Pelodiscus sinensis: one gene and its partner. The main gene of each other region encodes a partner of the protein of the gene in region 2 in a complex. Links are inferred from orthologs where the notes say so. Each region holds a gene or a part of one and is shown on either strand. Other genes may lie near its edges.

What was found. Proteins that work in one complex are often made in the same cells at the same time.
Region 1: the proteins of ATP8B1 (region 2) and TMEM30A are in contact, whole or in part, in a cryo-EM structure (PDB 7VGI), measured with the Homo sapiens proteins. The link is inferred for Pelodiscus sinensis from reciprocal best matches to the Homo sapiens genes ATP8B1 and TMEM30A. Residues at the interface, in NP_001361314.1 of Homo sapiens: Thr138, His359, Trp362, Glu363, Val366, Ser369, Ser370, Trp371, Tyr372, Leu373, Tyr374, Asp375, Gly376, Arg384, Ile388, Phe418, Asn420, Trp421, Asp422, Leu423, Tyr426, Lys430, Asp431, Thr432, Pro433, His939, Trp942, Arg946, Tyr968, Phe971; in NP_060717.1 of Homo sapiens: Lys24, Thr25, Arg26, Arg27, Pro28, Asn30, Phe33, Lys34, Gln35, Gln36, Arg37, Leu38, Pro39, Ala40, Trp41, Gln42, Pro43, Ile44, Leu45, Thr46, Ala47, Val50, Phe54, Ile57, Phe61, Ile64, Ile68, Ile75, Phe119, Tyr121.

Annotation. Positions count from the first base shown.
Region 1 is NC_134713.1:55,346,944-55,353,905, forward strand, and holds the start of TMEM30A (cell cycle control protein 50A), read right to left. Parts: upstream 3,022-6,962; 5' UTR 2,808-3,021; coding exon 2,550-2,807; intron 1-2,549. UniProt on the Homo sapiens protein: Accessory component of a P4-ATPase flippase complex which catalyzes the hydrolysis of ATP coupled to the transport of aminophospholipids from the outer to the inner leaflet of various membranes and ensures the maintenance of asymmetric distribution of phospholipids.
Region 2 is NC_134716.1:110,413,874-110,421,012, forward strand, and holds the start of ATP8B1 (phospholipid-transporting ATPase IC), read left to right. Parts: upstream 1-4,112; 5' UTR 4,113-4,608; intron 4,609-7,139. UniProt on the Homo sapiens protein: Catalytic component of a P4-ATPase flippase complex which catalyzes the hydrolysis of ATP coupled to the transport of phospholipids, in particular phosphatidylcholines (PC), from the outer to the inner leaflet of the plasma membrane.

The DNA of each region.
Region 1 (6,962 bases), on a different chromosome or scaffold from region 2:
TGAAGGGTATGCTGACCAGACTGGAGAAATCAGTATCAAGGGAGTATACTCATAGGCAAGGTCATCTCTAATGTTTATTTCTTGCACTGACTAAAGTAGGAGGTAAGAACATACTGTGGTAGATTCAGAACAAGTTATTTTAAAATGTTGATATTTGACTAAATTGACAAGAGTCATTTCCTACAGAAGCCATTTCTTCACCTCCAAAACCACATTAACCGTAAGAGGATGAAAAGACAGGATGATCTAGCAATGTCCAGCGGAAAAGCAGAACAAACCAGCAATCTATGTTTCTGTAACCTCTGTAATCCTATAGGGTTACTGCCTTACTACCTAAAGCTACCTCACCTGACCCTGGTATGGGGGAAAAGATGCTTCGCAAAGATGCTTCACAAAGATGATTGGATCTTCCAGTTATTGCCCAGGCTAGGGATGAAGAATTTTTCTGTGTGTGCTTGAAAGCGACATAGGAGATGCACCATAATAAGGTAAACTAGAGACGGTAGAGACCCATTAGCTCCCATTCCCTCCCTCCCTCATCACCTGAGGCCAGCGCAGCCAGGCTCCCTACAGGGCATTTCCCAGAAGTCTGCCTGGTTTTAGAATGTAGAATGGATGTAGAAGCTCTATATACCAACATCCCACATGAAGACGGATTACAAGCAATTAGAAACACTATCCCAGAGGACACTACTGCCAACCTGATAGCAGACTTATGTAACTTTGTTCTCACCCACAATTATTTCCAGTTTGAGAACAACTTATACCTCCAGATCAGCGGCACAGCCATGGGTACACGCATAGCCCCACAGTATGCTAACATCTTTATGGCTGACCTAGAACGTTTCCTCAACTCCCGTCCCCTTTCACCCCTTCTCTACTTACGGTACATCGATGACATCTTTATGATCTGGACGCATGGCCAAGAAACACTGGAGATATTCCACAGAGATTTCAACAACCTACACCCCACCATCAACCTCAGCCTGGACCATTCTACACGAGAGATCCACTTCCTGGACACCACAGTACAACTCAACAATGGAAAATTAGACACCACTCTCTACAGAAAACCCACCGACTCATACAGTTACCTACATGCTTCCAGCTCCCATCCAGAACACACCACACGATCCATCGTCTATAGCCAAGCCCTTCGATACAACCGCATCTGCTCTAATCCCACTGACAGAGACCAGAAGCTTCAGGATCTCTACCAAGCATTTATAAACCTCAACTACCCACCCGGAGAAATAAAAAAGCAAATTGACAGAGCCAGACGAATACCTAGAAACCATCTACTTCAAGACAGACCCAAGAAAACCAACAATAGAACACCACTTGTCATCACCTACAACCCCCAACTTAAACCTGTCCAACACATTATCAATAAACTACAGCCTATACTGGAACAGGATACCATACTCCAAGAGGCTCTGGGAGACAGACCCATAGTCTCCTATAGACAACCACCTAACCTCAAGATGATTCTTACCAACAACCACAGGACATACCACACTAATACCAACCCTGGTACCTTCCCTTGCAACAAACCCCGTTGCCAGCTTTGTCCACATATTCATTCTGCTGATACCATTATTGGACCTAACCAAGTGAGTTATAAGATCAAGAACACATATTCCTGCGCATCCAGAAATATAATCTATGCTATCATGTGCCGAAAGTGTCCATCTGCTATGTACATTGGACAAACATCTCAGACACTTCGCCAAAGGATTAATGCCCACAAAACAGATATCAGACAAGATCACAAAGAAAAAACAGTTTCTTGCCATTTTAACCAGAAAGGACACTCTCTCAATGACTTAACCACCTACATTCTGCTACAAAGACCTTTTACATCTGCACTTGAAAGGGAATCCTCTGAACTGTCATTCATGTTAAAATTCGACAATCTCCGAGAAGGAATGAACAAACACTCCAACTATCTTACCCATTACCAAGATAGCTTCCCCAATTATCACCTCTAATACCATTAGCTCACAGACATCCCACTCTCCCCACCTCTAATATCATCAATTGACAGACACTTACCTTCCTTCCTTCTCCCCCCCCCCCCCCCACATCCCTCTCCTGTTCTGAAATGTGATTTGTCCTTTTCATATGTGTTCATTTTTTTTAATTGTATCCTTTGGTATATATGGTTGTGACTATTTTCTTCCACTATTTGATCTGAGGAAGTGGGTCTGGCCCACGAAAGCTCATCATCTAATAAACCATCTTGTTAGTCTTTAAAGTGCTACATTGTCCTGCATTTTGGTTTTAGAAAGTCCGGCTTCCTTTTCCGAAATTCCTGCTCTCGAGATTGCCCCACTCAGCCTCTGCCCAGGTTTCACCAGGAGACGAGGGTGAGCTCAGACCGGCCTCCCCGCCATCGTCCGCGACCTCCCAGAGCCGGTACCCGCCGTAGGGGAGTGTTCCCCGCACAGGGCAAAGCCGCCCCGCGTCTCATCTCTCCCCCTTCTCCCGGGCAGGGAGACCCAGGGCCCGTAACGGCCTCAAGAGGCCGCGCCCCGCCCGGCCCTCACCTCGTACTCGCGGATGTTGTTGGAGGTGACGAAGATGCCGATGCCGATGGGGATGAAGATGAGGCCGATGATGAAGAAGGCGGGCAGCACGGTGCCCGCGGTCAGGATGGGCTGCCAGGCCGGCAGGCGCTGCTGCTTGAAGGCCGTGTTATCCGGCTTGCGGCTCTTCCCCGCCCCGCCGCCGGGCCCGCCGCCCGCGGCCCCCACTCCCGACGGGTGCCCGTCCGCCTCCTCCTTCGCGTTGTAGTTCACCGCCATGGGGCTGAGGAGGGGGAGCAGACGGCGCTCCGCTCGGGAACCGGGGCCGCCTCCGCTCGGGCCAGGGACGAGTGGGAGAGAACTGCGCCTGCGCGCGGAGAAGGGGACAGTTCCGCAGCCGCGGAGCCACTGACAACAACCAAACGTCACCAGCTCCCCTCACCGCCGGGTGACCGAGGACAACTTCCGTCCACCCCCCATAAACCTGCGCATGCGTCGCCGCAATGGGCGAGGCTGGGGCTTGGATCTGGGGCGCACAATCAATGACGATAGGTTCCATGGTCCCTGCTTCCGGCACAGCCGGCACTCCCTGCCCATGAGCCAAAACAGCGCATGCGCACAGAGAGCGCGAGCGACTGCTGGAAGCGTAGTTGGCAGGAGCAGCGTGCTGGAGATACTCTCAGGCACGCGGAATCTCTCCTCCCTTCCCGGTGGGGACATTCGCTCCAGTGGGAGGCTGCACGTGACTGCGCTGCACGTGTCAGTAGGTTGTGGCACGCTGTGTCCTGTACTGCCCACCTGTGGAACTACTTGCCAAAGGATGTTGTGAAGACTAGGGCTACATCTACACTGCCCCTTTTCCGGAAGGGGCATGTAAATTTCACCAGTCGTCGTAGGGAAATCCGCGGGGGATTTAAATATCCCCCGCGGCATTTAAATAAAAATGTCCGCCGCTTTTTTCCGGCTTTTAAAAAAGCCGGAAAAGAGCGTCTACACTGGCCCCGATCCTCCGGAAAAAGTAGGAATAAGACCCTCCGGAAAAGGGCACATTTTCCGGAGGATCGGGGCCAGTCTAGACGCTCTTTTCCGGCTTTTTTAAAAGCCGGAAAAAAGCGGCGGACATTTTTATTTAAATGCCGCGGGGGATATTTAAATCCCCCGCGGATTTCCCTACGACGACTGGTGAAATTTACATGCCCCTTCCGGAAAAGGGGCCAGTGTAGACGTAGCCACGGATTTTAACAGGATTCAGAAAAGAGCTAGAATTCATGAAGGTTAAAATTCATGGCGGTTAAGTCCATCAAGGGCTATTAGCCAGGATGGGTAGGAATGGCGTCCTTAGCCTCTGTTTGGAAATGGATTTCATGAGAGGGATCAAGGGCGGCCCTAGTCTAGCTGCCAGCAACAGGCACCCTAGGCGAACCATGCAATCGGCGCCCCCATCTCCAAACCCCTCAACAATATTGCACCACCATTTGGCACCCCATATAACTTGGCACCCTAGGCGACCGCCTAGTTCACCTATATGGACAGGCCACCCCTGACTGAGGGATCATGATGATTACCAGTTATGTTCACTCTTTCTGGGGCATCTGGTATTGGCCATTGTAATCAGACAGGCTGCTGGGTTAGATGGACCCAGTATGGCTATTCTTATATTACACTGCATTAGGAATGGCAGTGGTTGCCCTGTGCAGATGCACAGACACGTTAGGGTGTGTGTGCATGCATGCGTAGGACTGAATCTCGCTTTGTGCCTGTGTGAGCTGCCCAAGGTCGATCTGGTTAGAAGCGGAATAGGGCTGCTGGATGGCTGGGCCGGGGTGGGGGGGGGGAGAGATTTTCCCCCTCCTTTTACTTGCAGTCCCACTCTTGTTATGCCTGCCCATGGCACCACTCCATTCTGTCCTTTCCCCCCATGTCCCTGCCCCGCTCCATCCACAGCCCCATTGCACTCCCCGCCCCCTCATTACATCCTAAGAGCAGAGAGAAATTCTGCCCCTAGCCACGGTCCCTGGGCCACAGCCCTCAAGCTCCAGCACAGAGCTAGAGTGCCTCCACTCAGTTGATATTTTTATACTGTTTTTAAACCCAGATAAAAGTTTTACCCAACAGAAAGTTAAAACTACTATTAAAACAGAACTATTTCAGTAGTGCTGCTGTATTTTTCAAAAAGCTGTCAGGTTTGTGACAGATTAAGTCAAATTAGTTCTTACCTCAGATGATTATTCATTGACAACAAGTAATGTGTCTTTAAGACAATGGGCTTGGTTCACCACTATGTTAATTCCAATTTTGTGCTGGTGTAACTTGATAGAAATCAATGACACATGTATGGGTCTGATTCTTATTGCTGTTTTACACTGGAAGTTAATATTTCTTCAGCTCTGTGTAAGGAAATTGAAATATACTGTGTAATTTCAGGATGTCATAACTTTCCCATATGCATCTCTGTCTTATTCTGCAGCTTATGCTGCAGAATCCTCCTTTTCTCACTCCCAGCAGAATCGTGTACCAGAATAAAGTTTTTCCTTTAAAAAAACGGCAAGAAATCCAGCTTCAATGGTTGTACAATAACCTTGAAAAGATTATCTGAATGACTACTGCTCCATTATCTGCTGCTGAAAAGCCCAGTGAGATGTTTACATTTACTAAGGTGTAATTGCTAGCTATTTCACTTCTGAGCATTTTAGCAAAAAAACCCATTAATATGCTTGACTCAAAATCTCAAACCAGATCCCCAAGTGACAAGAAACCCAGTAGTCCCTATTCAGCAGCCCAATGTTCCAGTTTCCTCAATCACTTTACGCTACCATTATACTCTAACAATAAAAAAATCTGAAATATGGGGAAAATTTAAAATAAAATTAATTTATTAAAAAAATAAATAGCATGAGGGATGATATACAGATTATGTATTCATATCTATAATTCATTTTAAATGTAGCTGCCACTGAATTTTCATTATGATTCTTTAGATTGCTGTATTAATCATCAAAGGGCCACTGATGTAAAATTTAAGTTCATTTTACAGTGGCATACATGAAATCTTGTTATATGATCGTTTGGCTGTCTTTAAATCTATATAAGGAGATTGTATTGTGATAGTTGATGGTATAAACTCAAAGGTAGAAACAATGTCATCATTAATTTTGCCAGATGATTATCTTTCTTCAGAGCTTTGATAATCTCTGGATCAGTTTTATTATGCATGTAGTATACACTGTGATATTGTAATGAAATACCAGCCTAAAGAAGGTAACTACAAAAACCACGCAATTTCTTTTTTTTTTTTTTTTTAGCAGTAGCAATTTCTATAAAGTAAAACGAAAAAGGTGAACTTCAATACTGTCAGCCTTACGGCACTTGTGTCACAATCCAAACACTTGGTTACATTTGCATTCTTGTGAAAATTTATTTGTTACAGTGTGATGAAAATTGATTTTTTTCAGTACAGGCAGAAGTAAAAACACATTGTAAAATAATCATCATCAAGGTTCATGAAAACTTGTTTACAATGTTTAAAATGAATCTTTAAAATCAGATAGTAGTCCAGAGCTTTGGTTTGTTAGCACTCATTTTTATGTTGAACCTCTGCACAGTGCAAGAAAAATTCTATAACAGTATACCCTATATGGCAGTCCCGTGAGCATTTAGTCTCTCAGTCTAATGACAGGAAAATGTGTTTCACACTTTTTTTGTGTTTTTTTAAAGCACTTTTGGGATTAAAACTTAACTTTTTTTTTACTGTCTTTAATACAAAAATATCAATACAGAGAATTTTGACAGTGTATTCTACAAATTAATGTGCAATGGACAGTAGCAATTGGAAGGTTTGGGGAAAGTTACATTAATGTGTTTTATAAAAATAAATTATATAGCAAACACCACCAAACAAAATCAAGCAGGTGCCTCATGTTTTGCAAAATAAGAGTAACATTCAGTTGACACCTTGACTGTTTTTCTCTACATATTTTCAAAGTATCAACAAGGCCATTACTTTTAAAAACTCTACAAATAATTCAGAATAATCCAAAGAAGTTCTAAAATACTTCTGTAAGTGATCAGTAGCACAGGAGACCATGGTGACAGTGGTAGAGGGCATCAACAGTGATCCATCCAACTGGTGTGGAGAGGAAGTGCACACATACAGAATGCATTGCGTATTGTATCTCATCTAGAGTTCATGCGTAACTGATGAATGATGACACTCTCTAAGAGAAAAGAGCAAAACATTTGCTATTATATAATTGGAAATATAGGTAATTTTAATACAATTACTAGAATTTGGCATTTTTATAGTGCTTTTTGTCAAACTTTTAGAGACCTTAATTAAACCTTACAAATACACTTCAGTGAGGTAAGATTCCCATATAAAGACCAGAGACTAAGATCAACAAGAAATGTCCTGGACAGTTTTATAGTGGGAATATG
Region 2 (7,139 bases):
TGTGCATATAACCTGTTAAATCGAGCGAGACCAAATTGCTCACAGCCAATTCCAGAAAGCTTCACTACTGACATTCACCAGAAACAACTGACTCTATTCTTCACTATCTGTCCTTCCAGGTCTCAAACTCTCTCTCAGCAGACATACAACTTTTCCCTCCTCACTGACATATTTCCCTCATTGAGGAAATTGAAAAGCAGTAGAACATCACCACACTGCCCTTTGCTCACATATTATTGTTCAGCTACTAGTTCATTACCACATTGATCACCTCATTATAAAAGGGAGAAACTGAAAGTCACAAATTTTAACACAGATAAAGGGATTTTTTTAAAAAAAATTAACATAATTAACGTGTGGATCTTATTGCCACAAACCATCATTGGGGCCAAAAGTTTCAGATAATTAGGATTTGGATTAGCTGTTTTGATGGATAAAGACAACTGAGAACATCCATAGTTACATTGTATAGGCTACATACATATTAGAAACACCAGGCATAACCCAAACACAGACAGAAAGGGGTTAGGAAACTTCCCCCTAAGTTTTTCCTTAATTGTCTGCTATGGATTTTCTAGCACCTTCTTCTGAAACATCCTTAACTGATTGGGTTCAGTTGATTGATTATTGGGTTCAGTTAAACAAAACACATTTATTCATTCACTTGGCATTACTTCTCCAAATGTCTTCTTTATTATTTATGTATTTATTTTGGTAGCAACCACTGTATGCTAGGTTCTTTCCAAATACTTCTATGCCTTGTTTTTAACTTTATTTTATCACTTACTACTCCTCATCCCTTTTATCCTACTATATTTTCTACTCTCAACATTCTGTCTCCTCATCATCATCATCTTGTTTCTATTTCTGCACTCATTTTCATTTTCACAAATTTCTACGTTCCATCATATCATTTTCTGAATTTTCTTCTATCTTTCTGATGACAGTTCCATGCCATGTCCTCTGATCACTGGAAATGGTTACAGAAAACATGGGATTGTGGAATAAAATCCAGACTCTAGCAACTGATGAATCTCTAGCAATGGAAACAGCATAATGTTTCATAAGGAAGTTAAGCAAATTTTGTTGAAATGAGTATGAATAAATTTGGTAACAAAAATAATTGCTAGTGCACTGAGTCATCAGAAACCACTGCAAACAAGATACCAGATGACTTATCAAAACTTAGTGTCAGCAAATACTTTGACATGTTGGGGGGAAAACAATAGTGCTATAAGTACCTATCATGTAAATGGTGGACTAGAAGTGTGAGTGGGATTATCTATTTACAGTAAAGGTTTAATATTTATTTTATCATTGTGGCCTTTGTGTAGTTTTGATCTTGTTTTTACTTCAGCGTAAGAAGATCTTGTAAACACCTTGGAGCAGAAACTGTATTTGTTTCTATACCGTATTGAACATACTGTTGGCACTTAAATAATTACATGATAATTATAGTTAACACATTCTCATTATCCTATCTGTTATGTATCTTAGGTAGCATGTAAAACAGGAGTGGGAAGCCTAAGGCCCAGGGGCCGGATGCGGCTCACCTGGATCTGGACCCCGGGGCTCAGCGCTCTTCCCCAGCAGTGGGGAGTCTGTGTTTGGTGTTCTAGGACCCTCCCCCCCCCCCCCCCCGCCAACTCCCTGTGGAGCTGGAGCACATGAGGTTCCAGTGTGCGAGGGGAATGTGGGAAGTATCTTTCTCCTTCTCAGTCAGGGGCCACATCAGTGAGGTTGTGGGGTTTTTTTTCAGGTTGTTGGTTTTTTGCCTTCTCACTTGTGTGCAGCCTCTGACTAATTTTTCTGTGGATCAATGGTCCCCTGAACCAAAAAAGGTTCCGCTACCCCCAATGTAAAATGTACACTTCCCATCATTGTATGTGTTTGTATTAATGTGGATTTAGTACAGCACTTATATTAGAGAGCACTTATTGAGTGCCTCTATTATTCTTAAAGTCTAAATAAGAAGTTTGTTGGTAAGGGGCTCTTACCTGAGTATTTCCTGGAAGAACGGCAAGGTAGGTGAGGTAATCTCTTTCACTGACTCAGTATATGCTGGTGAAAGAGAGAAGCTTTTACCTACAGAGACCTCTTCTTTAGGCCACCTTGGAAGCATGTGTAACATTATTTCCGGACATGCTGACCTGCAGATTAAACAATATGAAAGTGCCTTAGGCTGTCAAATTTAGGGTCAGGGACATCACTAGCTGGGTTCTCAAAAGGATTTAGTACCCAAGACCTCCCACTGAATTCTTATGAAAGTCTTTTGCTATAAATTTACTCTCGGTACTTTTTGTCTGTTTCATTTAAGGAATCTGCATTCTCTTTTCAAAATGTTTTATGTTTAACTTCAGAATTCATCCAAAACAAAGAATACCTGAAAACAGAGCAAGAAAGAGTTGCAAGTGAATAAACAAACTATTCACAACACACTCGCAGAATTGCCAACCCCCAGAGTAATGCCAGTACAAAACAATTGGCACCCCAATTGTCCAAAAACCGTAAGTCAGACCCCTCCAATTGTCTTAAACATAACATATTGGAGACTCTTTTTTTTGCAGATTGAGTCTTTAAGGTACCTATAGTTTATTTACAAACTTTCTTCACAACTACAAAAACTAGAAACTTTTTTGTAATGAAATCTAAATCCCATATAATTACAAGAAAAACACCAAATATGGCAAGGTTCACAATAAAATAATTCACAGCACTATATTCAGGATCTAACTGAACACAATTGAGCTCCATCTCGGTTGCAAAAGACATTTTGTTTCAGCCTTTAAGATCTCCAAAATTTGTTATAAGTGGGTTAAACTGTTTATTAGCCCAATAAAGGCTTTCAAAATGAAAACAACAAAAAAAATTAAAATGTGTGTCTTTTTTTCTTTTAGCTTCTTTGATGGAGGACTCTAGTGAGATTGTGACATCATCAAAAGCAACGAGGAAGTGCCATCTAACTAATTGTGAAAGGAAGTGAATTTTAAACAGGTTATTTAAAAATGGAGTACAGTTTTGATAGTTATTTAATATCTATCAGATATGTGAAGTATTTATATGGTTCCTATCACAGCAATCTTTGAGCAGCTAAACATCTTTAATCACAACATACCTTTTAATGTAGCTGAAACAAAATACAGGACTATGTAGCACTTTAAAGACTAACAAGATGGTTATTAGGTGATGAGCTTTCATGGGCCAGACCCACTTCCTCAGATCAAATAGTGGAAAAAATATGGTTGTGACAATTTTCTTCCACTATTTGATCTGAGGAAGTGAGTCTGGCCCACGAAAGCTCATCACCTAATAAACCATCTTGTTAGTCTTTAAAGTGCTACATAGTCCTGTATTTTGTTTCAGCTACAACAGACTAACACCGCTACATTTCTATCACTTTTAATGTAGGGAAGTCTTTCAGGAAAAAAAAAGTAAGGAAGACCAGGTTTGATATTTCTAAGGGGAAAAAACCAGGTAAGTAAAATATTTTGAAAAAATAATTCCAGAGCTATTGAAACCATTATAGAAAAGCAAAATACCCACAATTCTTTCTGTTTCTTCTTTGCATGCCCCTTTAACATTCAAATTTCTGATACCAGGACACAACCGAGTTGTATTTTTGGCTCAGCCAACACTCTGCTTTTTGCCAAAACCATTTTCAAGAAGGGTGCTTTTGAAGAGAAAGATTACAATTTTCAGGCTGTACAGGATTGGGGCTAATATCAAACGGATGTAGCTCTTCACACGTTTCACTGGATCTGAAACCTGAAGGACCTTTAAAAAAAAAAAAGCCTAAAACAAAACAACCCCTCGCTTCTTTCCCCGCAGATAATTAGATGCAAATGTAAAAAACCAAACCAAAACAAAACCTTGGGAAAGAGAGAGCCCGGGGTTTAGTTCCCCTTCTTTCAAAGAGAAACAAAAACCAGGCAGCTCCCACCTACAAGAAAGTCCCGAATGAGGTAACTGAGACAGGTGGAGGGAGTGGGGTACACAAAGATGAGTAAATGCCTCGGATGATTCTGGCGCTGTCCGGATTTCTAACCAAGCAGGGCTCAAGGCCAGGCTGAGCGCGGCTGAGAACCTTGAGGCACAGACAATAAGGTGGGCCCAGGAGGAGCGGGCATGGCTCTACCTAGCTGCTAGCGCCGCTCTCCAGGGGGAGCGCTCCCAGCGTGTAACCCGAGCGCAGGCCGCTCCCCTGGCTACGGGGCTGGGGAAAGGGGGATGTCTCCTGCCCCGGTGGCCGCTGTTAGTACCTGGGAGTCACGTGGGCTGTCCCCGGGCTAGGGGAAGGGCTTAGTGAGGGCAGCTGCGGCAGAGGTGGGTTCCCCCTCCACCCCGCCAAGGGAGGATGAGTCCCAAGGAGTAAGCCACCCCCGCCACACACCTTCAGCCGGCGCTCACCTTCCTGCGCGCGGCCAGGCACCTTGTGCAGAGTTGAGGAACTCGTTTGGCCGGTGCTGAGCCCGCTTGCCAAGCGAGGCGGGGAGCCGCGCGCCATTGGAGGGCTGGGGAGAGCAGCTGGCGTGCAGCAAGCGGGGCGAGCGTGCAAGGTGTAGGGCGGGAAGCTGCCCCGAGCGGCCGGGGCCCGAGTTCCAGCGAGAGGTGAGGGGGCTGCGGAGGCGGGGCGCTGCGCGTCTCGCACCGGGGCTGGAGGGGGTGTGGGTAGCTTGGGGGGCAGGCGCGGCGGCTCGCCAGGCGGGGTGCGGGGCGTGAGGACCGAGCCCCCGGGGGAGAGGGGAAGGCGGTTCTCCCCGAGCCCACAGCAGCTGTGCGCTCCGGAGCACGCTCCGCCTGAGCACCTGGCCCTGCTCCTGCCGCCCCAGAGCTCCACCCCGGGCGAGTGGCTCTAACTTTCCTAGAGCTCCTGCGGGGTTCGCTTCCTAGGTGCTGCAGCACCTCCCTGGATTGGAGCGATTCCCAGGCGGGGTCACTGTTTGGTTCCAGGGCTCTCCGCATCCCTGGCTGCCTTCCCCGAGTGCTGTTCCCGTTGGCTTGCCCGGACCTGAGACAGCCAAGGCAGGAGTGCCAGGGAAAGGCTGGAGGCTCCCAGGCCAAGCGGTGGCTCTGCTTGATTCCCTAACTGAACTTTAGAGCCGCGCAGCCCACCGCGAGAGAAAAGCCAAACTGGTTCTGGTAGCTCTTTGACAGGAATCCAAACAGGTCCCAGCCAGATTCAAGGTGCAAGGGCTGTCCCCCTTCAGCGTTTATCTCTCTCTCCAGACATGTGCGCTAGTTATCTACATCTCCCAGATTTCTGTAACTAAGGTACAGAGGATGTCTGGAGGCCATTCATAAACTAAACTAGATATTTAACGTTACATAATAGTTAACTAACCTAAAAGGGTGTTACAGGGAAGAGGGAGAAAAATTGTTTTCCTTGACGGCTGATGATAGGATAAGAAGCAATGGGCTTAAACTGCAGCAAGGGAGCAAGGTTGGATACCAGGAAAAACTTCTTAACTGTCAGGATGGTTAAACGCTGGAATAAATTGCCTAGGGAGGTTGTGGAATCTTCTTCACTGGAGATATTTAAGAGCAAGTTAGATCTGTAGCTATCAGGGATGATATAGACCCTTTTTGGTGCTGCTGTGAGGGCAGGGGACTGGACTTGAAGACTTACAATTCTAGTATTCTATTGACTTACTCTCAAGATCACTTACATTTCTAGTATTCTATTATTGTATTGTATTAATAGAGCTTGTATAGTGTAATGCCAAAATATCTATTTTTTCCCTGGGTGTAATTCACTAATCTCCTCCAGTGCGCGCACAGACCTGCGTGATTGGGTAAATGACCAGTACACCTGCCAGTTCTGATTCATTTTCAGAATGATCACATTTTAAAGTAAACATTAACTCAATGGAGAAGCGCACTGCATTGATATGTTGCCTAAGTGGAGGAGGAAATGAAATAAAAAAAAAAAAAGCAAAACTGGTGTTTGTTTTCAAATGTCTTTTCAATCCCGTCTGCCTGCACAATAGAGAAATGAACGTCATTCTCCTCCCTGTACTGGGTGGACAAAGGCAAATTATGATGCAACTGCTTTGACTCCAGAATTTGTTGTTTGTATGTAACTGTATATGCTCCATTACATTTTATTTTATTTTTTTAAAGACTCTCTACTTCTTGAGCTCATTGTAATAACTTTTCATTTTCTTTTAATATGAAAAGGATTGCCTGATTCCATTGTGACTGCAGCAATTTTGATCTGCACAACTTTATATAAAGCACAACAACATAACAAAGGAAGAAAATGCTACAGGATATTAATTCCTATGTCGACTAAGCGATTGTTTTCTTCCTTTTTATTCACTTAAGGAAATGAGAAATCCCGGAGTGACGATGTTTAATATTTTGACCAAATGTAAAGGTTATATAAAGGCTTACACATTATATGAATTTCAGGCTAAGCCAGCGATGAGAAGCCTAGACTAGTGAATGGGCAGCATATTGTTGTAACTAAGATGGTCTCCTGGGATAGGGTAGTTTGCTAACTGCGCTTGTATTCCTAGAATTTGCAGGATGTTCCAGTTAAACCATAGCAGCACTTTGACTGGATGTAGAGGAAGCTCACAGTCAATGTTGTATGCAGTTAGCCCATGTGTCTTTGGTTTATGTGCATGTCACTTCAGTAATACAAGTAAGGAAAAAACCTACCCAGCCAGCGGGATCTGGCAACTCTGTGCATAGGTAACGGTAAACATAAGGTCTCACAGGCCACACACAGAACCTGAGGGACCACAGGTAGCCCTGAGGTGGCAGGTTGCCCACCACTGGGCTAAGTCATATTCTCTAATAAAATAACTATATTACATTATCAAATAATTAGTTTCACAGGAGGGGAGTCATTTTTTTAATTGAATCTCTTAGTAGGGTTCATGTAACTTTTCTGTGGGTCACAAGTGTAGTGTATTTCACTTACGTACAAACAGTTTTTATTAGTGGTATTTTAAGTGTCAACAGTGTAATTTTGTGCTGTACAGCCATAGGCAGATAGTCCCTACCTAGAAGACTTTACAATACAGTGAATGTAGAAATGGAAGTTCAAACTCTAATGATAATAGCAGCTCTTCACTATATTTTAGGGAGTGTTTAATAAATGATTGGTGCATCCTACTTGTGATGGTGGGGCG